Saccharomyces cerevisiae S288C: one gene and its partners. The gene in region 4 interacts genetically with the main gene of each other region. Each region holds a gene or a part of one and is shown on either strand. Other genes may lie near its edges. The genes, in order: OMS1, PTC1, ILM1 and MKK1.

What was found.
Region 1: mutations in MKK1 (region 4) and OMS1 together harm fitness more than expected from each alone (negative genetic interaction), as found in Saccharomyces cerevisiae (3 studies listed by BioGRID).
Region 2: mutations in MKK1 (region 4) and PTC1 together harm fitness less than expected from each alone (positive genetic interaction), as found in Saccharomyces cerevisiae (6 studies listed by BioGRID, with this or other methods).
Region 3: mutations in MKK1 (region 4) and ILM1 together harm fitness more than expected from each alone (negative genetic interaction), as found in Saccharomyces cerevisiae (3 studies listed by BioGRID).

The regions. Positions count from the first base shown.
Region 1 is NC_001136.10:1,089,520-1,098,711, forward strand, and holds OMS1 (putative RNA methyltransferase), read left to right. Parts: upstream 1-4,243; coding exon 4,244-5,659; downstream 5,660-9,192. Other genes in the region: PIB1 (phosphatidylinositol-3-phosphate-binding ubiquitin-protein ligase), read right to left, coding at 1-560; RAD34 (Rad34p), read right to left, coding at 914-2,992; IPK1 (inositol pentakisphosphate 2-kinase), read right to left, coding at 3,222-4,067; YDR316W-A (gag protein), read left to right, coding at 6,545-7,867. UniProt on the Saccharomyces cerevisiae protein: Mitochondrial methyltransferase which suppresses respiratory defects caused by OXA1 mutations when overexpressed.
Region 2 is NC_001136.10:432,742-441,254, forward strand, and holds PTC1 (type 2C protein phosphatase PTC1), read left to right. Parts: upstream 1-7,167; coding exon 7,168-8,013; downstream 8,014-8,513. Other genes in the region: glutathione-disulfide reductase GRX6, read left to right, coding at 1-284; YDL009C (uncharacterized protein), read right to left, coding at 184-507; APC11 (anaphase promoting complex subunit 11), read left to right, coding at 756-1,253; YDL007C-A (uncharacterized protein), read right to left, coding at 3,826-4,083; proteasome regulatory particle base subunit RPT2, read left to right, coding at 5,306-6,619; MED2 (Med2p), read right to left, coding at 8,273-8,513. UniProt on the Saccharomyces cerevisiae protein: Serine and threonine phosphatase. Involved in tRNA splicing and cell separation.
Region 3 is NC_001142.9:642,990-647,178, reverse strand, and holds ILM1 (Ilm1p), read left to right. Parts: upstream 1-3,077; coding exon 3,078-3,689; downstream 3,690-4,189. Other genes in the region: DMO1 (Dmo1p), read right to left, coding at 1-53; JHD2 (histone demethylase), read left to right, coding at 689-2,875; STE24 (zinc metalloprotease), read right to left, coding at 3,811-4,189.
Region 4 is NC_001147.6:765,650-774,627, reverse strand, and holds MKK1 (mitogen-activated protein kinase kinase MKK1), read right to left. Parts: upstream 2,028-8,978; coding exon 501-2,027; downstream 1-500. Other genes in the region: mitochondrial nucleotide exchange factor MGE1, read right to left, coding at 1-55; WTM1 (transcriptional modulator), read right to left, coding at 2,515-3,828; WTM2 (transcriptional modulator), read right to left, coding at 4,816-6,219; MCP1 (Mcp1p), read left to right, coding at 6,851-7,759; HER1 (Her1p), read right to left, coding at 8,063-8,978. UniProt on the Saccharomyces cerevisiae protein: Involved in a signal transduction pathway that play a role in yeast cell morphogenesis and cell growth.

The DNA of each region.
Region 1 (9,192 bases), on a different chromosome or scaffold from region 4:
TGTTGTTGGGCATTTTCAGCTCTCTGTATGCAATCCTCTACGTGCTTTCTGGTCTCTTCTTCATCAGGAAACTGTGTGAGATCTGAGTTACAAATAGGGCAGAAGTGATCCTCCTCGTTTTGTGAACTTTCTTCGCTCCTGCATGCCGTACCGGATTGATCTACCGAATCTTCCAGGATTTCCGCGTCTTCATCAGTGTTGCTATCTGGTGCAGAAAGTGCAAGTGCATTTGGTGGTACCGAAGTTTGCGATAGTCGTACATCTCTGTTGGTGGAGGATACTAGTAGATTTAAATGAAGGAGGTTATCGTAGCACTCATTACAAGTTCTATATGGAGGCGATTCCACGTCGCTATTTTTTTTCTGCAAGGCATGGACTCTCTTTTTATTATAATTAACAAAATTTTCGGTACAAGACGAACAAAATATCCTTCCACAACACCTACAATGGTGTCTTCTTACGAGAAACGAAAAGTTCGTCTTGCATTGAAAACAGCTGTGAGCTTCCTCGTCTGCCTGCCACCTGGCAAGATTATTGATACAGTCCTCTTTAATAACCATGCGCTTTAGTTCTTCATATGTTCTTTTCTAGCAGAAAAAAAAAAAAAAAAACAGCAGTAGTGTACAGTGTTTGATCAGGTTATTTCTTAATCGTCCGTCCCCTGTTTACTATAAATCCCGAGAATAGTTCTACTTTTTCTTTTCTATTCTTCTCTTCGGTGAGCTGCTTCGATGCCCATTACCCGGATTCCATGATACTCCGCTATTTCACTGGCCCTTATCGAAGATTTCCTTCTCCAGAGATATGATTATGCACAGGCTTCCATACGCTCTATCGATCGTGCAAACATTTATACCCTCTGCGAAACAGCGTCGAATCCATTTTACTTTAGAAAAGGTGAAATACGATGTAGTCAATGGTCGTCCAACGTTTCTTCATTATTTCCAACATTACCGTACTCAGCATTTAATCGATCGTTAACTCGTAGCTTTCTTAATAGAATGTCCCAGAACGAGAGTCCCAGTAGTACTTTAGTTTGCTGCTTCAAAAGCTGGACTGCTTTATAGTCTGTCTCTTTGACTAGAATGCTTTCAATTTTCGGAATGGCATGGCCTTTTTTCTGTTTAAAATCAAATCCACTTACCACATCCAAATACTTGATTTTTTGCATCTTTCTTTTACCTTTGTTATACTCCTTTATCAGGCATTTAATATCAACTTCTTTGCTAAGCGGTATTAATTCAAATCCATCAGGCTTAGTTTCTTTCGAGTAAATTTCGATGTTGCCAAATTTATTTTTATAATGCGACAAATCTGTTATCACATGTTCCTGTCCTAAATGATCGCAATACGTGCTGGGGTATTTAGGAGACTTCATTGTTTGCTCATACGAAAACAATTCTTTGATAACGTACTTGTCTAGGTTTCTTACCATCCTTTCCCTCATCGGTAGATACTTTTTACGTTTTAATGGTTGAGCATTAGGTAGAATGGAACGCCCTAATATTGCCCAGTGCTGTTTACTCTTTAATTGAATGACGTCTCTTCTCCAAAATATGGGCTCTTGTGAATTGTCTCCCTTAGTAAATGTTGCGGCTTGTTTTGCACATGCTTTTAATACTTCATTAGACTTTAACAGAGAGGGAATCACGAAATTATCTGTTCTTTTAATCTCTGTCACACTCTTTGGTAATGTAAAATTAGTTAAAGCAATCTTTTTCATTATTGCGTAATGATGAACAGATGCTTTTTTCTTGTTCAAGACTTTCAACCACTTAGATAGATATTGGTAGCTAGTGTAATGCTTCGATTTCAAAATAGGAGAAGACTCAGATAATTCAAAGTACCTGTAACAAACATTTGGCACATATCTTGGTGAAACATCTTGTAGTACCTTTTCAGCATGATTGATACGGACTACATAATGAAACTTTTGGTTTAGGTTGTACTTCATGTCTACCGAAGGTTGATAAGTAGGGACAAACTGATCTTCGCGTGTTTTCAAGACCATTTCACGTTCACCCAGATGGGCTATAGGGTCAATGATGTATAATTCACCATCGCTCAAAGTAGGAACTTCTAATTCAATCCAAAAATAAGGTTGTATTAGGTCAGAGTCAAATCTGTTGGGAACTTTGCCAATACCATGTTCGATTTGCCACTTCACCTTATTGCACCTAATATCGTAATCGTGCAAGGGCAAGGCAAAGCATAAGTAAAGCTTCTTAGGCCCCGGTAGCACATTTTCTAAGATAATAAAGAAGAACAACGTTAGAATATCTCTGTTGGCCATTTTCCTTTTAGCCATCTTGCGAATATCTTCAACACCATGATTTATCAACGGCCTATTTCCATAAAATTCTTGTTGATTTTCAAGAACTTTTTTATATGTAGATTCAGAGATTGAATTTTCGTTTTGGTTATCGGCATACTTGATAAGGTATTGCAGCCTGTTGAAATTCTGTCTAATGCCATTGCTATTCATTTTGTAATTGGAACGGAACCATAAGACCAAACCAAGCAAAAGGGTTCTTAAAGAATCCATTTTAAAAGCTGGATCCCTTACATCCCAATCTTTGAATTTTTTGCCAATTAATTTTGGTACAGACCTTCTTAGTCGCCTATTTAGTCTTTCATCGTCTATCCATTTCATCCTAGATTTTAACAAAAATAACATAAATGGAATCATTATCAAATGGAGTCCATATTTAAGTCGCTGATAATTGAATGCTTTTTTATTATGCTTTCTTTTGTACTTGCTGACTTTCTCCCTGTCTCTGCGTATATTGCCAAATGTGACAGTTAAGCTTCCATCTAAAGAAACTTCTTCCCAATCAATATCACTTAAATCATCTTCTTCATCCTGGTAAAAACTATCAAAAGAATCATCTGTTTCTTCCTCCTCATAAAACGATACTTCTTTCTTCTCAATCTTTGAGTTTTTTCGATTGGCCTGATCATTTTGGCTTGATTCTAACAGTCTCTTGGCCATTACTTTTCTTCTCACTATTCCTTAAACTCATGTATGCTAGGTTTCAAGGTTTGACCCTTCGTTGAATATCGAATTTGGTCATTCACCCTGGCTTGTGTGTTTTCCGTTTTATTATTTACATTTTCCAGAGGGCCACTAGAAAAAAAAAATACTTATCTATCCATATATTTTACAAATGGTAATGTATGTGCATCTGCCAGTACCAAAGGTGGAAAGAAAAGTATACAGTTTATTTATTTGAAGTATGATAAATTTTTTGGCTTGATGTCAACTGGCTGTAAGTTTTTGTCCAATGGGTCCATTTTTCTTTTGGCTTTAGATCTACATCTATTATATTCACGTGCAACGCATTTTCAGCACTGTTCCATTCAATGAAACATGTCACGTCTCTGAGTGTCATGAGTAGCAGATGCTCATCGTTTACATCGTTGATTGATTTTATGTCACTTATTGGAGTTGTGTTCTTTGTAAGTTTTTTCTGTAAATCATAAAGGATCTTGAAAATGTTATTGTCATTGCGCAAGTACTCATGCATGGCATCTTTAAACTTAACCGGAAATATATTACATTCTCCAAATATTAATTCCAAGTGTGCTGGATTCATTAGTAATTGATTGTAACAGTACTTAGTGCCTCTACCCTTAAATGCATTATGAGTACAGTTCCTACAGTAATCTGTATCATAGTATAACCATTTAGGCTTCAATTCTAAAATAACTGTTTGCAGATTTTGTGAACAATAAGATTTTAAAAAGTGGTTATTTAATATCAGATTTGAGGTATTATTGGTGAGATTTTTAATTTTGATAACTTTGACTACCTTATCGTCTAAATTTAGAATAAAGTCACTGAGAATTGGCCTTATAGCTTCTATATCGACGTCAATCAGATACATCGGGCAAAGCAAGCCATGTAGAAGAGGTTCTACATAATCTTTAATATAACTGATGTTTTTGATTGTATAAGAATTATTTGATGATAACAGATCGGGCCAACGGATGCAGCATCGCCACAACCACGTAGGATCCCCATAATCAATCAGTATATTTGCCCCACCACGTCCGATGACTTGCATCGATCTTTCTTTTCAAAAAAGGAACTTATCTCTGACAATTTTCGACTGGTAGCATATCACGGTTCGAATTAATTTTGGAAACCCTAAATGGGACCGCATCAAAAAAGTACCTTGTGAAAATATCTTCGATAAATAAACCACTGAGGAACGAACAAGAAAACCATAAGTAAGTGAGGATGATCGTATTTCGTCGCTTTCCTACGTGCCTTTTACATCACATTCGACAACCGGCATCCAGGAGTCTTTTGTTGGAATCACAAAGGCGATCATTATCTTTTACATCTTATAAATATAACAGCAGCCACATTGATGATGATAAAAGTAAAAAAAAGCTTAAAAATGTTTTCCAAATGAATAGCAATAGAGTCATTCGTAAGCAAAAAACAAAAGAAGAATTGGCCAAAGAGAGGTTCGAAGAACAACTGAGGTCACCTAATAGATTTGTGAGGTGGGGAGCTATTGCGAGATCAGAAAAGTTTTCAAAGGGAATGACCAAGTACATGATCGGTGCTTATGTGATATTTTTAATCTATGGTCTCTTCTTTACCAAAAAACTGTTTGCGAAAGACAAAGAACTGGAAAGATTGTTGAAGAAACAAGAAGAAGGGAATGCCAATGAATACGAAGCATTAAGGATTAAAGAATTGAAAGGAAAACTAAGGAGGAGAGATGAATTGAAATTAGAAGAATACAAAAAAATGCAAGAAGAAGGCATTGAAAACTTCGATGATATTCGGGTACAGAATTTTGATCAAAACAAATTGAATGAACAAATATTGCCAGCAAGAGACACAACAAACTTTTACCAAGAAAAAGCTAACGAATATGATAAGGCAATTAATATGGAAGAGAGAGTAATATTTCTCGGTAAAAGAAGGAAATGGTTAATGAAACATTGTCAAGGGGATGTTTTGGAAGTTTCATGCGGTACAGGAAGAAATATCAAGTACCTTGATATGTCACGCATCAACTCTATAACATTCTTAGACTCTTCTGAAAATATGATGGAAATTACACATAAAAAATTCCGAGAAAAGTTTCCTAAGTATAAAAAAGTTGCATTTGTTGTTGGAAAGGCGGAAAATCTAGTAGACTTAGCAGAGAAAGGTAAGCCCTCTCTAGAGAATGAAAAGGAAAACCAAGTAAAATATGATACTATCGTGGAGGCGTTTGGTTTGTGTTCCCATGAAGATCCGGTTAAGGCACTTAATAATTTTGGCAAGTTATTAAAGCCAGATGGAAGAATTATTTTACTGGAACATGGTAGAGGTCAATACGATTTTATAAATAAGATATTAGACAACAGAGCTGAAAGAAGACTGAATACTTGGGGCTGTCGATGGAATCTCGACTTAGGCGAAGTGTTAGATGATTCTGACCTAGAATTGGTGGAAGAAAAACGGACTCACTTAGGCACTACTTGGTGTATCGTTGCAAAGAGAAAAGGTGATGTGAAAAAGAAAGACGAGCTTGGGTTTGTAGAAAAATACTTGCAATCAAGTATTAGAAAGAGAATGGAATCATTCGAAAAAAAAGACGATATGGCATCTAAAAAAGAACTTGAGCCAGTACCTCCTGTAAGTAAAAGTTAACATATTTATTCATACCAATGAATTTTATACAGGCTTAGAATCGTGTAAATATTTCAGTAAGCAAGTTAAAATGTGATCTAAAACCCCTTAGGTAGTTCTCCTTACTTCTAAAGTGATCATACTGACCATATGTGACGTAACGACGCTATTATTAACAATCCAAAAATTGCGTCACTGGGAAAAAATAAAAATGCGAACTCTGTGGATCGAACACAGGACCTCCAGATATCTTGACCAAAGTTTTTTCTTCAGTCTGGCGCTCTCCCAACTGAGCTAAGTCCGCTAACATAAGACGGAACTTCATGGGTGGTCTGTCTTTTATATATGCAATCTTTTATTTTTATTGCGTTGCGGTTTTCAGTATTCATAAGAAGGTGAAAAATGAAACAGATCGTTGTGATCAAATCGCTCAAATCGGATTTAAATTAAACTTTTTCTTCTATTTCAATGCATTTAATTAAGATAGGTAACTCTTGTGAATAAGTGTTGGGATTGCATTGGTGATAAATCCATAATTAGGTACACAGAATATTCATGAAGTTTTTTTTGAGGATAAAAGAATCCCCAAAAAATGAGATTGGTAAATCTTGTTGGAATAAAAATCCACTATCGTCTATCAACTAATAGTTATATTATCAATATATTATCATATACGGTGTTAAGATGATGACATAAGTTATGAGAAGCTGTCATCGATGTTAGAGGAAGCTGAAACGCAAGGATTGATAATGTAATAGGATCAATGAATATAAACATATAAAACGGAATGAGGAATAATCGTAATATTAGTATGTAGAAATATAGATTCCATTTTGAGGATTCCTATATCCTCGAGGAGAACTTCTAGTATATTCTGTATACCTAATATTATAGCCTTTATCAACAATGGAATCCCAACAATTATCTAATTACCCACATATATCTCATGGTAGCGCCTGTGCTTCGGTTACTTCTAAGGAAGTCCACACAAATCAAGATCCGTTAGACGTTTCAGCTTCCAAAATTCAAGAATATGATAAGGCTTCCACTAAGGCTAACTCTCAACAGACAACAACACCTGCTTCATCAGCTGTTCCAGAGAACCCCCATCATGCCTCTCCTCAACCTGCTTCAGTACCACCTCCACAGAATGGGCCGTACCCACAGCAGTGCATGATGACCCAAAACCAAGCCAATCCATCTGGTTGGTCATTTTACGGACACCCATCTATGATTCCGTATACACCTTATCAAATGTCGCCTATGTACTTTCCACCTGGGCCACAATCACAGTTTCCGCAGTATCCATCATCAGTTGGAACGCCTCTGAGCACTCCATCACCTGAGTCAGGTAATACATTTACTGATTCATCCTCAGCGGACTCTGATATGACATCCACTAAAAAATATGTCAGACCACCACCAATGTTAACCTCACCTAATGACTTTCCAAATTGGGTTAAAACATACATCAAATTTTTACAAAACTCGAATCTCGGTGGTATTATTCCGACAGTAAACGGAAAACCCGTACGTCAGATCACTGATGATGAACTCACCTTCTTGTATAACACTTTTCAAATATTTGCTCCCTCTCAATTCCTACCTACCTGGGTCAAAGACATCCTATCCGTTGATTATACGGATATCATGAAAATTCTTTCCAAAAGTATTGAAAAAATGCAATCTGATACCCAAGAGGCAAACGACATTGTGACCCTGGCAAATTTGCAATATAATGGCAGTACACCTGCAGATGCATTTGAAACAAAAGTCACAAACATTATCGACAGACTGAACAATAATGGCATTCATATCAATAACAAGGTCGCATGCCAATTAATTATGAGAGGTCTATCTGGCGAATATAAATTTTTACGCTACACACGTCATCGACATCTAAATATGACAGTCGCTGAACTGTTCTTAGATATCCATGCTATTTATGAAGAACAACAGGGATCGAGAAACAGCAAACCTAATTACAGGAGAAATCCGAGTGATGAGAAGAATGATTCTCGCAGCTATACGAATACAACCAAACCCAAAGTTATAGCTCGGAATCCTCAAAAAACAAATAATTCGAAATCGAAAACAGCCAGGGCTCACAATGTATCCACATCTAATAACTCTCCCAGCACGGACAACGATTCCATCAGTAAATCAACTACTGAACCGATTCAATTGAACAATAAGCACGACCTTCATCTTAGGCCAGAAACTTACTGAATCTACAGTAAATCATACTAATCATTCTGATGATGAACTCCCTGGACACCTCCTTCTCGATTCAGGAGCATCACGAACCCTTATAAGATCTGCTCATCACATACACTCAGCATCATCTAATCCTGACATAAACGTAGTTGATGCTCAAAAAAGAAATATACCAATTAACGCTATTGGTGACCTACAATTTCACTTCCAGGACAACACCAAAACATCAATAAAGGTATTGCACACTCCTAACATAGCCTATGACTTACTCAGTTTGAATGAATTGGCTGCAGTAGATATCACAGCATGCTTTACCAAAAACGTCTTAGAACGGTCTGACGGCACTGTACTTGCACCTATCGTAAAATATGGAGACTTTTACTGGGTATCTAAAAAGTACTTGCTTCCATCAAATATCTCCGTACCCACCATCAATAATGTCCATACAAGTGAAAGTACACGCAAATATCCTTATCCTTTCATTCATCGAATGCTTGCGCATGCCAATGCACAGACAATTCGATACTCACTTAAAAATAACACCATCACGTATTTTAACGAATCAGATGTCGACTGGTCTAGTGCTATTGACTATCAATGTCCTGATTGTTTAATCGGCAAAAGCACCAAACACAGACATATCAAAGGTTCACGACTAAAATACCAAAATTCATACGAACCCTTTCAATACCTACATACTGACATATTTGGTCCAGTTCACAACCTACCAAATAGTGCACCATCCTATTTCATCTCATTTACTGATGAGACAACAAAATTCCGTTGGGTTTATCCATTACACGACCGTCGCGAGGACTCTATCCTCGATGTTTTTACTACGATACTAGCTTTTATTAAAAACCAGTTTCAGGCCAGTGTCTTGGTTATACAAATGGACCGTGGTTCTGAGTATACTAACAGAACTCTCCATAAATTCCTTGAAAAAAATGGTATAACTCCATGCTATACAACCACAGCGGATTCCCGAGCACATGGAGTCGCTGAACGGCTAAACCGTACCTTATTAGATGACTGCCGTACTCAACTGCAATGTAGTGGTTTACCGAACCATTTATGGTTCTCTGCAATCGAATTTTCTACTATTGTGAGAAATTCACTAGCTTCACCTAAAAGCAAAAAATCTGCAAGACAACATGCTGGCTTGGCAGGACTTGATATCAGTACTTTGTTACCTTTCGGTCAACCTGTTATCGTCAATGATCACAACCCTAACTCCAAAATACATCCTCGTGGCATCCCAGGCTACGCTCTACATCCGTCTCGAAACTCTTATGGATATATCATCTATCTTCCATCCTTAAAGAAGACAGTAGATA
Region 2 (8,513 bases), on a different chromosome or scaffold from region 4:
ATAGCAAGGGCATGAAGGAACTGCTTGAAAATGAGTATCAGTTTATCCCAAACTACTATATTATAGAACTTGACAAACATGGACATGGGGAAGAGCTGCAAGAATATATCAAGTTGGTGACCGGTAGAGGAACTGTTCCAAACCTTTTGGTTAATGGAGTATCAAGAGGAGGTAATGAAGAAATCAAGAAACTGCACACTCAAGGGAAACTTTTAGAATCATTACAAGTCTGGAGTGATGGTAAATTCTCGGTTGAGCAACGTGAAAAACCTTCCAATAATTGAAATTGTTACAAAAAGGAAAGAAGAAAAAATTAAGAATAAATATATAAATAAAGAGGTCGTGAATGATTAGGTCGTGAAATGCAGTGTAGTTGGAAAGGCGTAGTTTTCCTAGCACAAGGCGTTTCGGAGTTGGAATAAAGAAGCTATCACCAACGAAGAAGCTTTTTTGTCCAAGACATCTCTTAAAAGGGTTGTGAAAACATAAAACGCTTAATGCCTTCATATATACATATATAAGTTTATGGTTTCGATGTTTACAATAACTTCTATCCTTTGCTGGTCCATGCACTTCACCTTGGTAAGTTATGCAACGCACTTTTGTCTACGCCTGCATTCGATATAAAGGGTAAGCTGCCGAGATAACTTTTGTATCTTCCGTGTCTGCAGATAAAAAAATAATGCATTCTTCAAAAACTTTGTACAATATCGGGAGAGTTTAACAAGCAAAGTGGCAATACAGATTATAAAAATATGAAAGTTAAAATAAACGAAGTGCACAGTGTGTTTGCTTGGTCATGGCACATCCCTAGCACATCTGATGAGGACGCAGCCAATAACGATCCAATTGGCAATGATGAAGACGAGGATGTCTGTGGTATCTGTCGTGCCAGTTATAACGGTACCTGTCCAAGCTGTAAATTTCCAGGCGATCAATGCCCTTTAGTGATTGGGCTATGTCATCATAACTTCCATGATCATTGTATATACCGTTGGCTTGATACACCAACCTCAAAAGGACTGTGTCCGATGTGTAGGCAAACTTTCCAGCTACAGAAGGGTCTAGCAATTAATGACGCTCATGTCCAAAAGTTCGTTGAAATAGTTTCAAGAAGAAGAGAAGAAATGATAGAGGAGGGCGTCGCAGAAGAGTTTGTGGACTTTGATGAACCAATAAGGCAAAACACCGATAACCCAATCGGTAGACAGCAAGTTGATACCATCCTGGACGAAGACTTTTTGTTACGATAAAAAAGAAACTTAGAAATCACAATTAGCTATATTTCCATACGGTTCTTTTCTTGTGAACGCTGTTAACATTCTGTATACTTAAATGAAAATTTAATATTGATTTTTTCTTGTTGCAGCTAAAGATAAAAAAATTTTCTTTTCCAATCGTTGAATAGATGTACTGTAGCCGGAACTGAAGTTAAGGTTGTTAGATTGAAAAAGAACAACAGTGTACTAATCATGCTAACGATGACAGCGGTATCGTTGCATACTTAGAATACATAAAAATATGCTTCCAATCGGATTTGAACCGATGATCTCCACATTACTAGTGTGGCGCCTTACCAACTTGGCCATAGAAGCTTCTGATTTGTGTTCATTTGATTGTAAGTTAGAGTATTTCAAGCTCTAACTCAATTATGTGAACTTTCATAAAATTGTGTTATTTTTGAGAAATATGTGAGTTGTTAGATAATTGTTGGGATTCCATTGTTGCTAAAGGCTATAATATTGGTATACAGAATATACTAGAAGTTCTCCTCGAGGATATAGGAATCCACAAAAGGGAATCGATAGTTCTACATAATGTTATTATTTTATCTTCTTTCCTTTTATGCGTTGTCATTCATTATCCTATTACATTATCAATCCTTGCATTTCAGCTTCCATTAGATCGGATGACTGTTTCTCAATCTTTATGTCATCTTCTTACACCGCATGTGATAATATAATATTAAATAGATGATATTAGAGTTCAATTCCAACAATTTTCATTCTAGATAGCGGGAATATTACTGGGTATTCAGTATATCACAACGTCTCTTACAAGATAGAGGATACTACAAGAGGGAAGCAAGAATCATACATGGTAATGTTGTTTTTTCTTCCCCACATTTTTTGTTATCATTCGTTATTTATTATATTTTCAATGCTTGCATTTGCAGCTTCCATCTCATCTGATGACTGTTTCTCAATTCTTATAGTGTGTTATCATGTACGGTATTAGATGATGACATAAGGTTATGAGAAATTGTCGTCGAAGTTAAAGGAAGCTGTATTCTGTATACATAATACTATAGAATTTACAAACAGTGGAATTGCAACAATTATCAAATTATTCACCTAATAATCACCTTTAACATTCAGGGAGGTTTATTTTTGCTTCCGAAATTTTTACAGTCTACAGGGAAGAAATAAATATTTAGTTGAGAAAGTTTTGTTTATTTGTAAGTTATTAATTTGAAAAATAAATACCATAACTAGCGCAAAGCTTATAAAAGAGATGTTTGTTGAAAAATGCAGAAACCCCATATATAAAACCATGAAATGTCACAATGGACATGATGTACATTCTTGGAGATAACATCATATTCGAAATATTCAATATGCCCAATTGGTACCTGTTCTCCATACCCCATTATATGATACAAATGATCTGCCCCTATTCTAACACTGTGCTAGCAACATAGCAATTATACTAAATTTTTTCAGTCACTATGCAATACATGTAATCTCTCAACTACCAAGCAGTCATTATTCTATTAATATATATTTGTGCTTGGAAGTATTGTTTCACTTCTCAGAGGCCTTTCTTGACATGTTATAGTTTTTTAGGTACCTTCTAATCCTGTAAATTTATACAAAAATTGGTATATAATGGCTACCTCCGGAAATTTTAACAACTTTTGGGTCACACTATTACTGTGTATACTTCCTTTAGAGATCTCAAGCATTACTGAAAGATAACCTGAGGAAAAACATAGCGCGTCTACGGATGTGTAATACTCGCTGGATTTCCTGGTAAAAACTACTGTACATTTATCAGCTGCCTCTGCCAATGCTATTGAGAACCGTAGGTTCATTAGAATTACTTCATTCAACGGAAAACGTCACTATACCTGCCGCTTGTGTGTCGCGTCAGTAACGCCTTGACAGAAAAAGAAAGAAAAGAATATGACCGACCGATCGATGTATTATTATTATTGAACTGATTATAAAAAATTGGAACGTCGTAGAATCAGAAATCATAAGACAATGGCCAACTATGCCAAATCACACATCAATATTTAACCGAGATAGCAAAAGAAAATAAATTTCGATTATTTTTAAAATGTAACTGACAGTTTTTGGCACTTGTGGACTTCCTCTTTCCGGCAGATAGCAAAACCAACGGTAGAATGGCCCCGAAATTTAAATTTTATTTCATTGTGTGCTTGAGCGTGGCCTTTTTTTTTTTTTTTTTACATATCACAAACAATTCACACATTACCACACATACCATAAGCTAACGTATGCGGTGCAAAGTTCACTATTAGGCGCTTAAAGGCTTGGAACGAAATGACTTCTGGCTTTTGTTTCCTATACACATTCTTAGCAAAACTTTTGGTGTTGTAACAAGCAATGAGATAGAGAAAGAAATATATCCATCAATGGAAGAAATAGGCAGACGTCGGTAATTTTATTCTATTGAAAATATGCAAAAGTGACAGTATAAATTGAAGTAACTAATTTTACATCTAGTAAGCTGCTGTTGAAGAATTGAATAGTATCGCAGTATTTATTTTGTATACCCTTAGAATACACATACTTGGTGTTAGAAGCCATCTAATACACTATATAACTCGGGGATTAAATCATCTTGGAAGAGCGAATCTAGTTCAGGATCGCCTGTCGTAAAGTTCGAGGATAAGGACATCGAATTTAGTAGTAGTCCTAATGACTCGATGTTATTGTCTAAAATTTGTTCAATTTCTTTTCCTGATTTATCATCGTCTTCTTGAATAGGTAAACAGTAATATTTACCAAAGTTCAGGAGGGTTAGGATGGTGTGAAAAATTATAGGAAGGAACATCAAGAAAGTGCTTGAAATATTTTTCTTGGATTATGGAAGTATCAAGAACGATATTATTTCAATAATGTGATGGTTTATATCTTTGCATACAATAGATTTTGTGATACTTTTTTTATGTAATGGTCCCGTAACCCCGTCGCTCTTTCCCTTTTAATTTTGCCCGATCCACTTTCTATGCCGGTAGTTTAGCCGCCAAGTGCTATTTTCAAACGAATCAATAGTAGCGGCTGCAACTTTGAAAAAGAAAGAAACAAAATTATGCGCTAGTTTTCCATTTCTTGTATTCTTTTTTCTTTTGCGGTGGTAATTACGGGAATTTAGTGATGTTGGAACGAGAGTAATTAATAGTGACATGAGTTGCTATGGTAACAATCTAATGCTTACACCGTATATTAATGTACACCTCGTATACGTTTAAGTGTGATTGCACCTATTGCAGAAGGAATGTTAAACGAGAAGCTCAGACAATACTGAAGCTGTGCTAAAGATCTATTAATTGAACATGATATGGTAGGTACATATATGAGGAATATGAGTCGTCACATCAATGTATAGTAACTACCGGAATCACTATTATATTGGTCATGATTAATATGACCAATCGGCGTGTGTTTTATATACCTCTCTTATTTAGTATAAGAAGATCAATACTTATTTCTTCATTAATACTATTTTTTACCTCTAACTATCAACAAGTGATAATTGTTGGAATTCCATTGTTAATAAAGGCAATAATATTATGTATACAGAATACAGCTTCCTCTAACTTCTATGACAGTTTCTCATACCTTATGTCATCATCTAACATTGTACATTATAATATACTCGTAGTAAGACTACTAGTTGAGAGAGAATAGTTGATTTTTATTCTAACAAATAATATTCCAGCAGGTTTACATATTCCTAGGTTTGGGATATATCTTAAGTCAATAATTCATCATTAGTAAGGCAACTTGGCCGAGTGGTTAAGGCGAAAGATTAGAAATCTTTTGGGCTTTGCCCGCGCAGGTTCGAGTCCTGCAGTTGTCGTCATTTTTATATTCCCAATATTTTTATCACTCCGGGTAACGAGTTATTAACGGTTTTTCTCCGGTGGCAAATGTCTCTTTTCTTTTACCTAAAAGAAGGTTAATGTGAATATTAGTGAATATGATGCGTATCAGTGTCAAGCTTACAGTCAATTCAAGTTAAAGAAGAGACAGCGTTTTTAATAGAAAATAAAATGGGACAAGGTGTATCATCTGGACAAGACAAAAAGAAGAAGAAGGGATCTAATCAGAAACCCAAATATGAACCTCCCGTTCAATCTAAATTTGGTCGTAAGAAAAGAAAGGGAGGTCCAGCTACTGCTGAAAAATTACCCAACATATATCCAAGTACTCGTTGTAAGTTAAAGCTTCTAAGGATGGAACGAATTAAAGACCATTTGTTATTAGAAGAAGAATTTGTCTCTAACTCTGAAATTTTAAAACCCTTTGAAAAGAAGCAGGAGGAGGAAAAGAAACAATTGGAAGAAATACGTGGAAATCCATTGAGCATTGGGACCCTTGAAGAAATTATAGACGATGATCATGCGATAGTGACAAGTCCAACTATGCCTGATTATTATGTATCTATCTTATCCTTTGTCGATAAAGAGTTACTAGAGCCTGGATGTTCTGTGTTATTGCATCATAAAACCATGTCCATCGTAGGTGTTTTACAGGATGACGCCGATCCAATGGTTTCGGTCATGAAAATGGATAAGTCGCCAACAGAATCATACAGTGATATTGGTGGCTTAGAATCTCAAATTCAAGAAATAAAAGAGTCTGTAGAGTTACCGTTAACACACCCCGAACTGTATGAAGAGATGGGTATCAAACCTCCCAAGGGTGTGATTCTTTATGGTGCACCCGGTACAGGTAAGACATTGCTAGCAAAGGCTGTTGCAAATCAAACATCTGCCACATTCTTAAGGATTGTTGGCTCAGAGTTAATTCAAAAATATTTGGGGGATGGTCCTAGGTTGTGTAGGCAAATTTTCAAAGTAGCGGGTGAGAATGCACCAAGTATTGTATTTATTGATGAAATAGACGCCATTGGTACTAAAAGATATGACTCCAATAGTGGTGGTGAGAGAGAAATTCAGAGAACCATGCTGGAATTGCTGAACCAGCTGGACGGGTTCGACGACAGAGGGGATGTGAAGGTGATTATGGCCACTAACAAAATCGAGACTCTTGACCCAGCATTAATCAGGCCTGGGAGAATTGATCGTAAAATCTTATTTGAAAACCCTGATCTAAGTACTAAGAAAAAAATTTTAGGGATTCACACTTCCAAGATGAATTTAAGTGAGGACGTTAATCTTGAAACTTTAGTAACAACAAAGGATGATTTGTCAGGCGCCGATATCCAGGCAATGTGTACAGAAGCAGGTTTGTTAGCCCTTAGAGAGAGAAGAATGCAAGTTACAGCGGAGGATTTTAAACAAGCCAAGGAGAGAGTCATGAAAAATAAAGTTGAGGAAAATTTAGAAGGTTTATACTTGTGATGTGCCCATTTACATTTTTCTATAATAGATTTACGTATATAAGTAATGCTTCAACAAAGCTTAATATGTGTACATTTTGTATCACGTGCAATATTTGTTTCAAAAACTTAATATAGGTAGGGCGTCGGGGCCTTCGCGAATTCTAACTGCAAAGGAAAACTGGTGAACACATCTGAGAGGGTTTGTTGTCCTAATTTTATAGGAAACTAAAACTCAAAAGACAAAGTATACCTTTGCAAATTGAAAGCTTAGTTAAACATTATTATTCGTGTGTTTGAGGTCACTTTTTTTCGTCTTAAACAGCTCTCAAAGTTGTCTCAAAATTTTTATCCGGATTCCTTTACATTAACAGACCCCAAACACAACAAGTTTTGATAGTTTAAGTAAGTGAACGCTTATTTTTGTTGTCGTTGAAAAGAAAATAAATAGGCAGTATTATCAATTAGGAGGTGAGTTAAATTCCATTCTATACCGAGTATACGAGATTTTGCACATTCTTACTTCATATATCATTTAGGCACTGCATTTATCTTTTAAAAATCATTATAATGAGTAATCATTCTGAAATCTTAGAAAGGCCAGAAACACCATATGACATAACTTATAGAGTAGGTGTGGCGGAAAATAAAAACTCGAAATTTCGGAGGACAATGGAAGATGTTCATACGTATGTTAAAAACTTTGCTTCAAGATTAGATTGGGGATATTTCGCGGTGTTTGATGGACATGCTGGGATTCAGGCCTCCAAATGGTGTGGTAAACATCTTCATACAATTATAGAGCAAAACATTTTGGCAGATGAAACACGAGATGTTAGAGATGTATTGAACGATTCATTCCTAGCCATTGACGAAGAAATTAATACAAAACTTGTAGGAAATAGTGGATGTACTGCTGCTGTTTGCGTATTACGTTGGGAGCTTCCGGATTCAGTTTCTGATGATTCAATGGATTTAGCCCAACACCAAAGAAAGTTATATACAGCAAATGTTGGTGATTCTCGAATAGTATTGTTTAGAAACGGGAACAGCATAAGACTGACTTATGATCATAAGGCATCTGACACTTTGGAGATGCAGAGAGTTGAACAAGCAGGTGGCCTGATAATGAAAAGTCGTGTAAATGGTATGCTGGCAGTGACGAGATCGTTAGGGGATAAATTTTTTGATAGTTTAGTAGTGGGCAGCCCATTTACCACGAGCGTAGAAATAACTTCTGAGGACAAATTTTTAATCCTAGCGTGTGATGGATTATGGGATGTTATTGATGATCAAGATGCATGCGAATTAATCAAGGATATTACTGAACCTAATGAAGCTGCAAAAGTCTTGGTTAGATATGCTTTGGAAAATGGCACAACAGATAATGTAACGGTCATGGTTGTCTTCCTCTAAGAAGGATCCGTTATAAACCGCGCAAAAATTATGCATAGACATAGAGATATGCAATGTGTATGTGTGTATGTATGTATATGTATAAACGTACCAAATCTATTTTGCATGCATCTCTCACATGACGAATGAGGTTTTAGTAGAATAGGATTCCAGATTTTTAAACTGGAGAACATATTCTATCATATATATACCAATTAAATTCACGTAGCGAATGCACAACACGGTTTACAAGTCAATAGTTAACAATAGGAAGACCAAGCTATATATTGAAGCCGCTGAGGTCTAATTCGCCATTATCTCCAGTGGTCGACCAGTCAATATTAAGGTCGTTGAAATCATTTAATGTCAAGTATTCTTCACCGTTGTCGGCTGGAGGAGGGTTATCTCCAGGATTGGAAACAACGGTCGTTGGTAAATCATTATTAACTATATTTTCATTATCATTTCCGGTAGTGATAGAATTGTTCTTGTTATTGCTGTCGTTGTTGGTGGTATTGTTA
Region 3 (4,189 bases), on a different chromosome or scaffold from region 4:
CGGGTGGCATATGGGCGGCTAATTGCGTATAAGATGATAACATCCCAGCGCATCACGTGAAAGGAAATACATATATATGTGGCTTTATTACTGGTTTAGAGTATTTTTGTACTGTGACTACTACTGTATTTCATGTAGCAGAATACACAGCCTTTTACTTCTGTTCTTTCTCAAAGGTTCAAGAAATAGAATAGCCAAGTGCCATCAAGAACTCGAACTAACTTTCGTAGAAGGAGTAGTATACAGTCTTGCTTGTCACAACTCTTTCAGGAGCTTTCTTTTTAGTATTATACACGATCCGTATGCTCATCTCGTGATATAGAAGTAACGCATTGAATGCAAAGAAAGGCAGATATTTTACCCTAGGTGTAACCAGAAGAGATTAGGAGGGCTTAGGGCCAGTATTTTATCTGATGTAGGGCAAACGAGTAAAATGTGTAGGGTATGGGCTAATATCAAGGGCTTCGGACTTACTGCCCCGCTCACAGAAACAGCCGCACTAATTAATTTCTTTTGTGTAACGTTAAAGTAACCCTGGAATCATCATTGAAAAATTATCATCCCAAGAGACAGAGATGTGCATGTTGACAACGCAGGCTCAATGTAGAATAAGATCTGACTACTTAGTCAATTTTACCTCTAGATCATATTAACTAATCTCATCTTGCACAAAAAACGTATCACTATCATGGAGGAAATTCCTGCCCTGTATCCAACGGAACAAGAATTCAAAAATCCGATCGATTATCTCTCTAACCCCCACATTAAAAGGCTTGGTGTACGATATGGTATGGTCAAGGTCGTACCACCAAACGGGTTCTGCCCGCCACTTTCTATTGATATGGAAAATTTTACTTTTCAACCAAGAATTCAAAATCTGGAGAACCTAGACCTGAAAAATAGGTGTAGGCTATTTTTTATGAAACAGTTAAATAATTTTAAAAGATCCGTTAAGGATCCATCGAAACTTATACTTAGGGAACCTTATACGATTGTAGAATATTCAGATTCTACTCATGCATCGGAAATACTAAAAAAAAAAGTGTACTTTTATGACGTTTTCTCTGAACTAATAAAAGACAATCGGACACTTACTGACACTACACAGTCATTCAGGCGAAAATTGAAATTTAGAGATATTTCCCAATTAAGAGGCGACATCAGTCTATGGAGGACCATTTCTAAAAAATTCAACGTACCAATCGGCTTGTTAAAGGAAATTTTTGAGAAATATATTGCCTCATACTACATATTTCTTCATTCACTGAACGAGAACGTGCACACGGCGCTGCATGCTGACCAGTATCCAAAATCCTTATTAAGTGATGACGAGGACGATTTCGATCTTGGGCCAGATTCGAATTCTGGGTCGGATTTTGAGGAGGACGATGATGATGCTTGTATTGTTTGTCGCAAGACAAATGATCCAAAAAGAACAATTTTATGTGATTCATGTGACAAACCATTCCATATATATTGTTTATCACCACCTTTGGAACGTGTTCCCTCTGGCGATTGGATTTGTAACACTTGTATCGTCGGAAACGGATATTACGGATTCACTCAGGACACGCATGACTATTCTCTACCAGAGTTTCAAGAATATTGTAAACGTCAAAATTCAAGGTTATTACCAGCACGAAAACTGTCTATAGATGAGTTGGAAGAGATGTTTTGGAGCTTAGTGACCAAGAATCGTCGCAGTTCATTAACGACAGTTAAATACGGTGCTGACATACATAACGAATTGCCAGGTCAAATTACCGGCTTTCCGACGAGAGAATTTATACCCAAAAATATAAATGGGGACGAATTGATAGACTACCTCAAATATTGCGATCATCCTATGAATTTAACTAACTTGCCTATGGCTCATAATTCGCTATTACCGTTATTTAAAAGAAATATTTCTGGCATGACTATTCCTTGGATTTACATAGGCTCCTTATTTTCCACATTTTGTTGGCATATGGAAGATCAGTATACCCTAAGTGCTAACTATCAACATGAAGGTGACCCTAAGGTCTGGTACAGCATTCCCGAATCGGGATGTACGAAATTCAACGATCTATTAAATGATATGTCACCAGACTTATTTATCAAACAACCAGACCTACTGCATCAGCTAGTGACTTTAATATCTCCGTACGATCCAAATTTCAAGAAATCAGGTATTCCTGTGTACAAAGCTGTGCAAAAGCCCAACGAATATATTATCACGTTTCCTAAATGTTACCATGCTGGTTTTAATACAGGTTATAATTTTAATGAAGCTGTCAATTTTACTATAGATTTCTGGCTACCATATGGATTTGGTGCGATTACGGATTATAAATTAACTCAGAAAGCATGTGTTTTTGATATGTTTGATTTAATGATCAATGTTTTGGACAAGTACAATAAAGATACTCTATTGTTCAATGATGCTTTTGTTAGGCAATGTTACTCTTCATTGATCGTCTTTTATAATACTGAATTAAAACGCATACGGAAAATTCAGGCCATTGTACCACGGACAACTCTTTTGGAGGTGCATACTGATCCAAACGATGAAGATGAGGAATACGATATATTTTGTTCCCAATGTAAGACTATATGTTCAATAGCCTTTGTATTGCGAAAGAATAACTATGATTCAATTAGAACGTATAAAAGACACAAGAAAAACCATTTAAGTATTAGGCAGTGGAATGAACTATCCACGACGGACAGTAAAGTGAGTATCCTGTGTACGCAGGATTACTTAAAATCAATACAAAACTTGAACAATAGCGACGGTGAAGAACCTTATATTGACGATGAATTGTATTTCACTAAGTCTTTGAAGGATATTGACTCTTTAATAAAGCAAGTTGGTGTTAAGTTAGATAGATAGTCTTCAATATTTGTGTATGGCGTAATGATTTTTTAGAATAATACTTGGCATTTAGCACGCCACTTTTAGCGCGAAAACACCAAAAAAGTAAAGAAAATAATGTCGATCAATCTTTAAAGAGAGACAATTGAATGGTAGTGTAACAATTTACAACATAATAGAGTATCGCATTCAGCAAAAGTAAAGAATAAATTCTAAGAAAATGGCTCAAGCCTTGAACTCCACCAATATTGCTTTTTTCAGAGTAGCATTTTTATTCACGATCGCCTTCTTTTGTTTAAAGAACGTTAATTCTATTTTGCAAAATACATATTTCATAGTCTTAACGCAAGCGATGAATTTACCGCAGTTAACACTGTCACGTTATAGTGGTCAATTGGGTCTTTTCGCTCTTCTGTTTACTCTTAACGGTGTTCATGATCTAATTCCCCTGTTAGAAAACAATGTTAAATACTTCCAATCTGTTGTGCCAGTTAGATTACTAATTTTTTTTATTTTGACAAGTATCTCGTACCTTTGGGAGTCAAACTTTTACGTTCACAATAACTCTGTTTTTATTTACTGTTTTGCAGAAGTTTGGATAAATTTTCTTTTGTATAATGCCATTAGGGAGGAGAAAAATGAAGAGTTCAAAAGATTGAACCAATTCATGGTTAATGATGAGGATATTGAAGAACCCCAACCATTTACCGTGAAGACTGAAACCACAGAAATCATTGAAATAATCAATGATGAAGAAAATGACGATGAAGATGGGAAAGATAATGATGATAACAATGAGAAAGGTAATGATGATAGCGATGCAAAAAAATAAAATGTTTAATCGTTTATTTTTTCTTTCCTTTATTCTTATAGTAGATACCTGTGTATGTATGTAGATATAGACATAACGAAGCTGAATTTAACGGTACATGCTAATATGTGTACTCTATAGATTAGTTTTTCTTCTTTTCACTAACATAGTCTAGAGCGGTCAATCTTTCAGCTAGAGTTGGATGGGAATAATGATAGCTAGAATACAGAGGATCTACATTCATGGTGGAAAGGTTTTTGATTTGTAGATCAATTAGAGCCCTACATAGATTTTGCTTGTAGCCCAATTTTTTAGCATAAGCATCAGCTTGATATTCATGAGTTCTGGAAATTAAACTCATCACGAATTGCATGGCACATTCGAGTGGAGTTAATAAGTCGTTAAATAACATAAATCCAATGATAATGGGGAATTCCTTAGTGATAACGGGATCAACAAAACTGCCAGTGGACTTCTCTAAGAAAAAGCCGAAGGTGTTGTAAAATGATGTATTTCTGTAG
Region 4 (8,978 bases):
GGATGAACGACTTCCTAGTTGTGGCCCTAACGGTGGCTGCTGAAAAAGCTCTCATTTTCAAATATTCAACTTACTCTTCCACAATATGTCCTTGTACTTTGGATCTAAAGCGGCACTTGGAAACTTATTATTGTTTTCAAATGCTTACGGTAATACCACGGTATATTGTTCTGGTTCAGCTGCAGCAGGCGTTATGTATAACTCATGGGAGTTACGTTTGCTTCAAACGTAAACTCGCTGGAAATTGCGTTGCGAGGTATTAAAATATCACTGAATACGTATGCCAAATACAAAGACATGTAAGACATTAAATGCTAATCCTGCTGATTAAATTAATATATCTATATATTCAAATTAAGTTTGTCGTCAAGCTGTATAAAGCCATACATTTTAGTTAGGCTATCCTGGGTATGAATCTTGTATGGAGGAAAATTTTTTTATGGAAAATGCGAAATAAAGTAAAATAAACTTAATCATGTTCGCAAAAAATTGCTTATTGATTAATCTTTCCAGCACTTCCTCACGAATTTTTCCATATTGACATTTTTTTTCATTTGACCCTTTATCCAAGGATGATTGATCATTTGTCTTGGAGATGGCCGTTCACGACTATCTTTTTTCAGACAGTAGTCGATAAAGGATTTGAATGATGGACTCCATATGATATTAGATTCGGGTTCATCCTTTAATTCAGGAGTAAATGTTAAAATCCACATTAACAATTCAAAGGGAGCTATATTGGCTGCCATCTTCTCGGAAGAGCATGGAAATTTCCCGTTCGCCACTTCCAAAATCGTTAATCCAAGTGACCATACATCAGATGTGACACTGTATGGTTGACCTTGAATCCTTTCTGGAGCCATATAGAATGACGTCCCCGTGAATGTTGTGGCTAGCGAGTTAACGGCTTCTCCACTGACCCCAAAATCACAAAGTTTCACCTGACCATTTTCATTCAGTAAAATATTCTGGGGCTTAATATCTCTATGAATAACTTTTTTTTCATGCAAATATGATAGTCCTCTTAGTACCGCTTCTGCAATCTTCCCCAGGACTTTTTCACTGATCCTACCACCACGCTCTAACAAATTTTTATAAATAGCATCCAACGATCGCCCACCCATGTACTCCATAGCAATATAAATTGAAGAGTTTTCGTCATCCGTAAACATTCCATAATATCGTACGATATATTCGGATTGGAAACTCCTATTAAACTGTAATTCTCTGAATATTTGCTTCTGATACTCGGGATCTGTATTTAATGTGTTTATCACTTTTAAAGCGAATATTTTTGATCCATTTTTCAATTTACACTTGGAAACAGAGCCACCGGCTCCTTCTCCTAGAATGCCTAATGTCTCGATCCTATCTTTTAAATTTGCATATTTCCAACCATTTTCATCCAATTGATCAACATCTCGTACACTGTTTAAGTCTATGTACGATTCAGAAGATGATTTAGGCTGGGACGATGACTTGATGGGACTTGAACTTTGTTCATATGCCGATATCAAATTTGAAAAGTCAGATCCCACTGAATTGCTCAGATCATTTCTGAGGTAGGGAGAAGAGGTGTTTGTATGTGAAAAGGGGCTTGCCATCGATGAAGGGGTTAAGTCACTATTACCAGACAACTCATTTTCGGCTATCACACGCTGTTTCAATCCTAAATCATGTTTACCATCAGACACATCGGCGATGGGTACGAGTTCGGGTAGTGTTTTGCACTTAGACTGTGAATTTATGCTGAGCGAAGGTAAAGATGGCGGTGCAGGCCTCTTCTTCATTGTATTTAAAGTCATTGAAGAGTCGCTAGGATGAAGTCGAGTTTGGGAGAAAAGTGTCGATGTGGAAGAGGTCAGTGGTTCTGGGGTGTGGCTACTGTAAGCTGTGGTGGAACTCCCATTCGACGTCAAGTATATATTATTTTCATCTACCTGATTATTTCGTAAGAGGGGCAGTTTAAGTCTAGGAGAGTTTGGGTTGCATTTCGCAGATTCTGGGGGTCTGAACAGTGAAGCCATACTGGGCAAATTGTGCAATGGAAGGATAGAGTTAATTTGGTCTATGTACACTGCGAGAAATACGCAACCATAAATGAAACGCAAGTTATGAAAAACCGGATCCAACCCTACCAGAGACCAACTTTCTTTTTAAATTGTGCCAAATTTTTGCTGCCCTTTAAAATAGAACTTCCTTATTCTGAGCCGTCACACGCCTTAATGATAATCAGTCGATCCGATTTTTCAATTGTCGCAATGACCTGAGAAATATAATTGCTCGTGTATAGTGACTTATTCGCCAGCAGGTGTACGGTATCTTTCATCAGTAGTAAGTATTGTTTAATTAAATATTGAATAATAAATATACTAACAGTAGCTCATACATAACTTTAGGCGCGCACTTTCATCACACAGGGTAAAGAAACCAGCCCTGGGTGAGAAAAACTAATAATAGTTAAAAGCATTAAATATATAAATATGGCCTTGTTCCGCGCGTTTAGCATGGCGACTATTCGCTTTCCTCGGTATAGGGCTTGTAGATGCTGACTAAACTATCGTCATCGACAGTACCAACCAAGTTTTCAATAACTGGATGCCAAGCGGCGGTGTTTCTTCTTCCAATCTGTTTTGGAGATCTTCTGCTTCCACCCTTGTGCAAGAATCTCAGAGATTTTGTTTGTGATTCTTCAGTGGCATCTTGAGGAGGAGCAATGGTATCGTCAGGATTGTACTTTGACAAGGAATAGTCAGTGTTCCAGTGGTAAATATTACCAGTGCCGCCCACAGTAAAGAATTCAGAGCTTGAAGTGGCAGAAAATTGGACGTCGACAACAGAATCACCGCCGGCATGATAGAAGTTAGCGATTTCATTCTGAATTGGATCTTCACCGTTTTGTCTATAAGTCAAATCAGTGGTGGCAGCTTCAGCCGCTCTGGCATCCCATAACTTGATAATACCCGTACTGAAACCGGTAACAAACAAGTTGTTGGAAACCTGAGAGCAATCAAACGAGGTCAATTTTCCGTTCTTTGGTTCTCCCAACACCCATATAGGCTTGTCGGAAGTTCTAGTGTCCCAGAACCTCAGAATATTGTCATCTGAACAAGACGCAAAGATATGATTGTCGAAAAATCTTACGGTGTGAGTCACAGTGGTACCAGGCACATGAACAGTACGTAGAATCTCACCAGGCTTACCGGCATTGTCAATGATTTTCAAAATACTGTCTTCTTCATCACCATTACTCTGAGACTTCACAATGGTTTCGGTATCATTGGAAATGCCGAAGTCAGAGATGGCTAATGAGAAATCCTTTTCAGGTAGATCACCAGGTCTGGTTAAAGAATGGATGCTGGCATAGCTGGTTGCTGGACCCATCAATTCCTGTACAATGTGAATAGGGACCTTTATACCCTCTTTGAACCAAGCCAACGACCCGTTCTTAGACATCGACAATAATGTAGTTTCTCCAGTCTTATCTAAGTAGGCCATTTTGGAGACAGTTTCACCCTGGTACACGAATTTTGGGCTCAACGAGGTGTTTTCAATACCTTCAAAGGCGTCACCATAGTCTTTCACCGGTTCTGAAGCGGCTTCTTGTAGTGGTACAGCGAAGTCAATTTCGTAGATATCACTACCTTGAGAGTATATAACACTTGAGGTTAGAGTGTTATTTTTTTTATCTGGAACAACAACGTTGCTGAACGTCAAGGACTTCCTTTGGTGCAGAACATTGTCCACACGAGACACAAATTTTGGTCTTAAGCTGGAGATATGTTCATAAGTGGAAGGCGTAGATGATTTCCAAACCTTTTTTGGCATTTTTGGTTGTAATGTATAGTGTGTTACAATTTATTTGTATCTTTCAAGATTGGTTGATTAATAATTAATTTTCTTATCTAATATCTACAATTCAGGCGAATATAAACTTTTCGGATCTTCTTTTTTCCCTCCCTTTATACTGGAAGCTACAGAACTGAAAAAAAAAAAAAAAAAACATAGAACATTAAGGGGACAGACTGCATGGAAAAGGAAAAGGTAAAAAAAAGCCCCGAAATGGTACTCTTAAATATGAGATGATAAACGAGGATTCGAAGGAAAATAGCCCAACTATCTACGAGTTGAAATTAAAAGGGAGTAGTGAGCGCCACTATGTGTGCTCACTGTGTATAGCTAAGCAATTACATAAGGGATAGTACATAAACCACCGTATGTTAGGAAAGAGGAAAAAAAGGAAAGACAAAGGTCTTTTGCCTATTGTATGACTTAGCCTTTCTTTGTTATACCCCGGCGCGTTCCAAAAAGGGAAGCCAGCACAGCACCGCATATTGAATACCGCCTTCTCACGTGGTACAGGCACAACTATCTTGCATGTGCCTCTGGGTCTTTCTTAGCGACAGCCTTTTAAGATTCTGAATTGTAAACATCGAGCTTCATCCGAGAAACGAAAGAGGGAATCTTGAAATGGACTATGTCACCATTAGATCCTCCCTCTTCTCCATATAGCCGGTTTTTGTCTTATTTCTTTGCTGGAAAGAAAAAAAAGAAATTGCTTGGTTAATTACTGGTAACCCTCTTTTCTTGAGGCCTTACTTCGTTGGCTTCAGAAATCTGAAAGAGTCTTTATTAGGAGCGATACCAGTATCTATACAACATTATACCATCACTATATATTACAAAAAAAAAAATAACCCCGATAGCGTGCTAGAAATGAATAAAAAAAAAAAAAACAGAATTATGTACGTGAATGCTTGTGAGTTACTGCCTTTCCCATAGGTGGTAACGTTAATTTCTTACTCTTTTTTTTTTTTAATCGTCGTAACCTCTGCCAATGAAGTCACTGGCCAGAAATGGTTTGTAGGCAGTAACAAGACTATCTGAATCAACAGTGCCAACAAAATCATTGATTACGGGGTGTAGCGCCACAGTGTTCCTCTTCCCGAATTGGTTGCTCGATCTTCTTGTGCCACCTGTGTGGAAAAATTTTAAACATTGACCCTGAAGTTCCTCCGGAGCAGCCACTCGAACTTCGTCTTCGTTGTCATCGTCGTTTCTTGAAAAAGAGTACTCCATGTCCCAGTGGTAGACATTACCCGTTCCTCCAACCGTAACAAATTCTGTTGCAGAGGTTTGTGAGAACAGGATATCGACAACGGAATCGCCGCCAGAATGGAACAACTTGGCTATTTCGTTTTGGATCGGTTCCTCGCCGTTCTGCCTATGTGTGAGGTCAGTAGTAGCCAGTTGCACAGCACGCGCATCCCATAGCTTGATGACACCCGTGCTGAACCCAGTGACAAATAGGTTTTCAGTAACTTGAGAGGAATCGAAGGACGTTAGTCGTCCATTTTTCGGTTCGCTTAGCGTCCAAAGCGGTTTGTCCGCTGTTCTTGTGTCCCAGAATCTTAAAATGTTGTCATCTGAACAAGATGCAAATAAATGGTTGTTAAAAAATCTAACTGAGTGAGCCACGTTGGTCCCTGGAACGTGCACTGTACGTAATATATCTCCCGGTCTATCGGAGTTGTCGATGATTTTCAAGATGCTGTCCTCCTCGTAGCCGTTACTTTGTGACTTTACTACCGTATCCATATTTGTCGACACATCAAAATCTGACACTGCTAATGAACCTGGTCTGGTTAGAGAGTGAATACTAGAGTATCTAGTAGCAGGGCCCATCATTTCCTGTACGATATGAACGGGAACCTTGATCTCATCTCTGAACCATGCCAAAGAGCCGTTCTTGGACATCGCGATCGCCGTACTGTCGTCTGAGCTTTCCAAGTATTGCATTTTTGCCACTGTTTCGCCCTGGTAAATCCACTTTGGGCGCAATGGTTTCCCCTCAACATCTTGGAAAGCATCACCATACTCTGGATTTGGGGTGGCTGCAGACTTCGTCTTGCCGTTACCTTCTTCGTCGTCGTCGTCGTTGTCGTCGTCGTCGTCGTCGTCATAGAATGTCTTTAATGGTAAAGTAGTGTCTATTTCGTAAATATCACTACCTTGAGAATATAAAAGACTAGTCGTCAAGGTGCCCTTGGATTTGTCTGGAATAATCTCACTTCTCCATGTCAGTGTCTTGCTAAAATGTAAAACATCGTCGACTCTTGTGCTGAATTGTGGTTTAAAGCTAGAAATGTGTTGGTATAAAGAAGGTGCCGGTTTACGGCGTGCTCCACTCGCACCCTGACTGGATTTGCTTTTCGCCATCCTCTATCCTTTTTAGTTCTTGCTCCCGTCGCTACTAATTGCTCCTTGTCTTATAAGTAAATGTAGCTGTACAGCAGAGATGTTCCATACGTCAGCTAACTAATTGCCTTTAATCTTTTTTTTTTTTATTTTTTTTTTTTTTCAAAAACAATAGAATTGAAGATGTGAGATGGAAAGGGAAATCAAAGTGCCATAAATGGTAAAGGCTTGCATTATGACCCGAATGGGTAAGAATGATCCAATGAGAGTCTGCGGACGCATATGTGCGGAATATGACTTAGCAGTTCGAACCCCGAACGGGGCTAAAAAACCAAAAGGACAAACCTTATGCGGAACATCTACCATCTATTCAAGGGAGTATAGCTTCCGTGTAGACTATAGAAGAAGCGTTCCAGTCAATTCTACTACATCAGTCTTCCGACATCGCTGATTGTATCCTAACCAGGTCCACAACTAAAATTTGTTTTGAAAAGAGTGGCTAGAGAGCGAATACGTGCTCTGTAATTGTGTGAGGCAAGTTGGTCGTCAATTGGAAAATAAGTAAGGAAAACCTTGTGTAGATTGTATTGCTCCTAACAGGTCCCGAATTACTAGGGCATATACCAGTTAGCCCAGAGTTTTGTTTATTACGATGATAAAGTTGCATGAAGTGCCTCCAGAACCAGTAGACCCTGCTAGTCTCCCTCATGATGTTAATGCACATAGCCCCGAAGGAGATGGTAATCCTGATAAGAGGAAAAAAATATTTGGCATTCCGTATCCTTTTTCCAGGAGTTCATGTCGGAGATTCCTTTGGAACTGTCAAAAGATTTCGGTACTGCCCATGGCATTGTATTTCCCACTACATGCAGCAAATACATTAATCACGCCGGCAGTATCACCTGATTCTGCTCCTGACGACGTTTTAATGATGGTGAGAGAGATTTTACCGTCCATAACTACCAAGCTGTTAGTTGCGGGTATTACTCTTCATGTTTCTGCTGGTGTCTTGCTCCGAATCGTGAACAACTGGAACAAGCCAAGAAGAAATAGACATCGACATTTAAAGATATCGGCCGAACAAGATCTATCCCAAGATTCGATTGGTTTAACTGGTGGAATTTCTGGCTATTTATTTGGATTGTATAAGACCTTCCGCATTCCTCCACAAGTGATTAGTGGATACATCCTTGTTCCCGTCCTGATATACCACTTATTAATTATGAAATGGGTGCCGAATTCCATCTCTACTGAGGTGGATTTCGCCTCTATAAAGCAATTACTATCTAGCAAGAACAGGTGGTGGAAATGGCTTGGAGGCCTGGTGCCGTTAGCTATTCTCCTCGAGTCAGGTGTATATCATATAGGTTCGGGGCTCTGCCGTTATTTCGGTGTTAGAAAAATGACTAGCAGGAAAAAATGGTCCACAGCTATCAATCTATTAACACTCGTTGGGTTCGTTTCTCTGATTAGATTGATGAAAGAGGATTCTACGAAACTGGGTCCCAACCAATTCGAAAGCATTTTCAAAAAGATCCGGTTGCTGTTGCACGTGAATTAGGAATCCTTGTGGGAGTAGTGTGAAGCTATTAATTTGCGACAATTCTCGAACAGTTAATTATATTATTCTCAGTATTTATTTTAAATTTCTGTATTTTTATCTGATTAATAACATTAGTGTGCATAATGAAGGCAAAAAATTTCGGCAGAAAGTATATGATTATGAAAAAACGTAAAATACATATACACATAAAACGTACATACATATATAGATTCCTAAGAATACATTATTGATGGGATATTTATACAAAGATGCACCTTCTAATAATCGAAAGAGAAAGGAAAGACAGAAGCATAAAATAATTTAGGTTTTACTGTGACGAACATTAGACAGATCGTTCAATAGTTTGTCATATTTTTTTGTCACTGTTTCATCTTCAACAAGGGGCCTCTGCAAAGGCGCCTTTTGTTGTGATTCTTGTAAACTGTCATTACTCGGGCTTCTAGAGTTCAATTCATCTCCATATAATGATTCCAATCCAACCTTTTCAGAGGTAACATTTTTAATCAGATCATCTACAGAATCAATACCCTTAGCTTTAATAATGGCATCCCTTAATTCGGCACCGGTAGGAATCTTTGGTAAGATTTTTGGCCTTGTACCAGATGTGCGAGAGGATTCCCCTTTCTTTCCTCCGGCGACACTGCTATCTGGTGTTAACGACCCGCTAATTCTCGAAGAATTGGCGGATGAAGGAAGCCCAGAGTTATGTCTTGAGCTTTGGTGCTGTACAAACACACCCCATTTATGTAATTCACCTTCCTCTTCTTCCTGTCTCTTGCCGGCCAGTGAGGTATTAGACGAACTCTTGAAAAGAAGAGCTTTACCAGTGGTCACATCGATGATTCGTCCCGAGTCGGTGGCCATTAAGTGTGGTCTAATTGATGAATCGTTTTCAGGAATTGAAACATCGTTGATTAACCTGTCAGAATCTAAGTGTTTTAGAGATGGACGAATACCATCATTATAGTTTGCGCTAACCGTGCTATCCCCAATATTAGGGAAACTATTATCGGCTTTTGAAAATGGTACGACATCTGCTATATTGGGCATAGAAGCAAAAATATCAAGAATATTTGATAAATTTTTCTCAAGAAGCAATAACCTTAGTAGGTTTTCCTTTTCCTGCAGTGGCAGTTCGCCGGATTTTCTTTTCTCAAACATAGAATCAATTGTATTTTGAACATTATGATGTACCTTTTCCATTTTCTCAAAATAT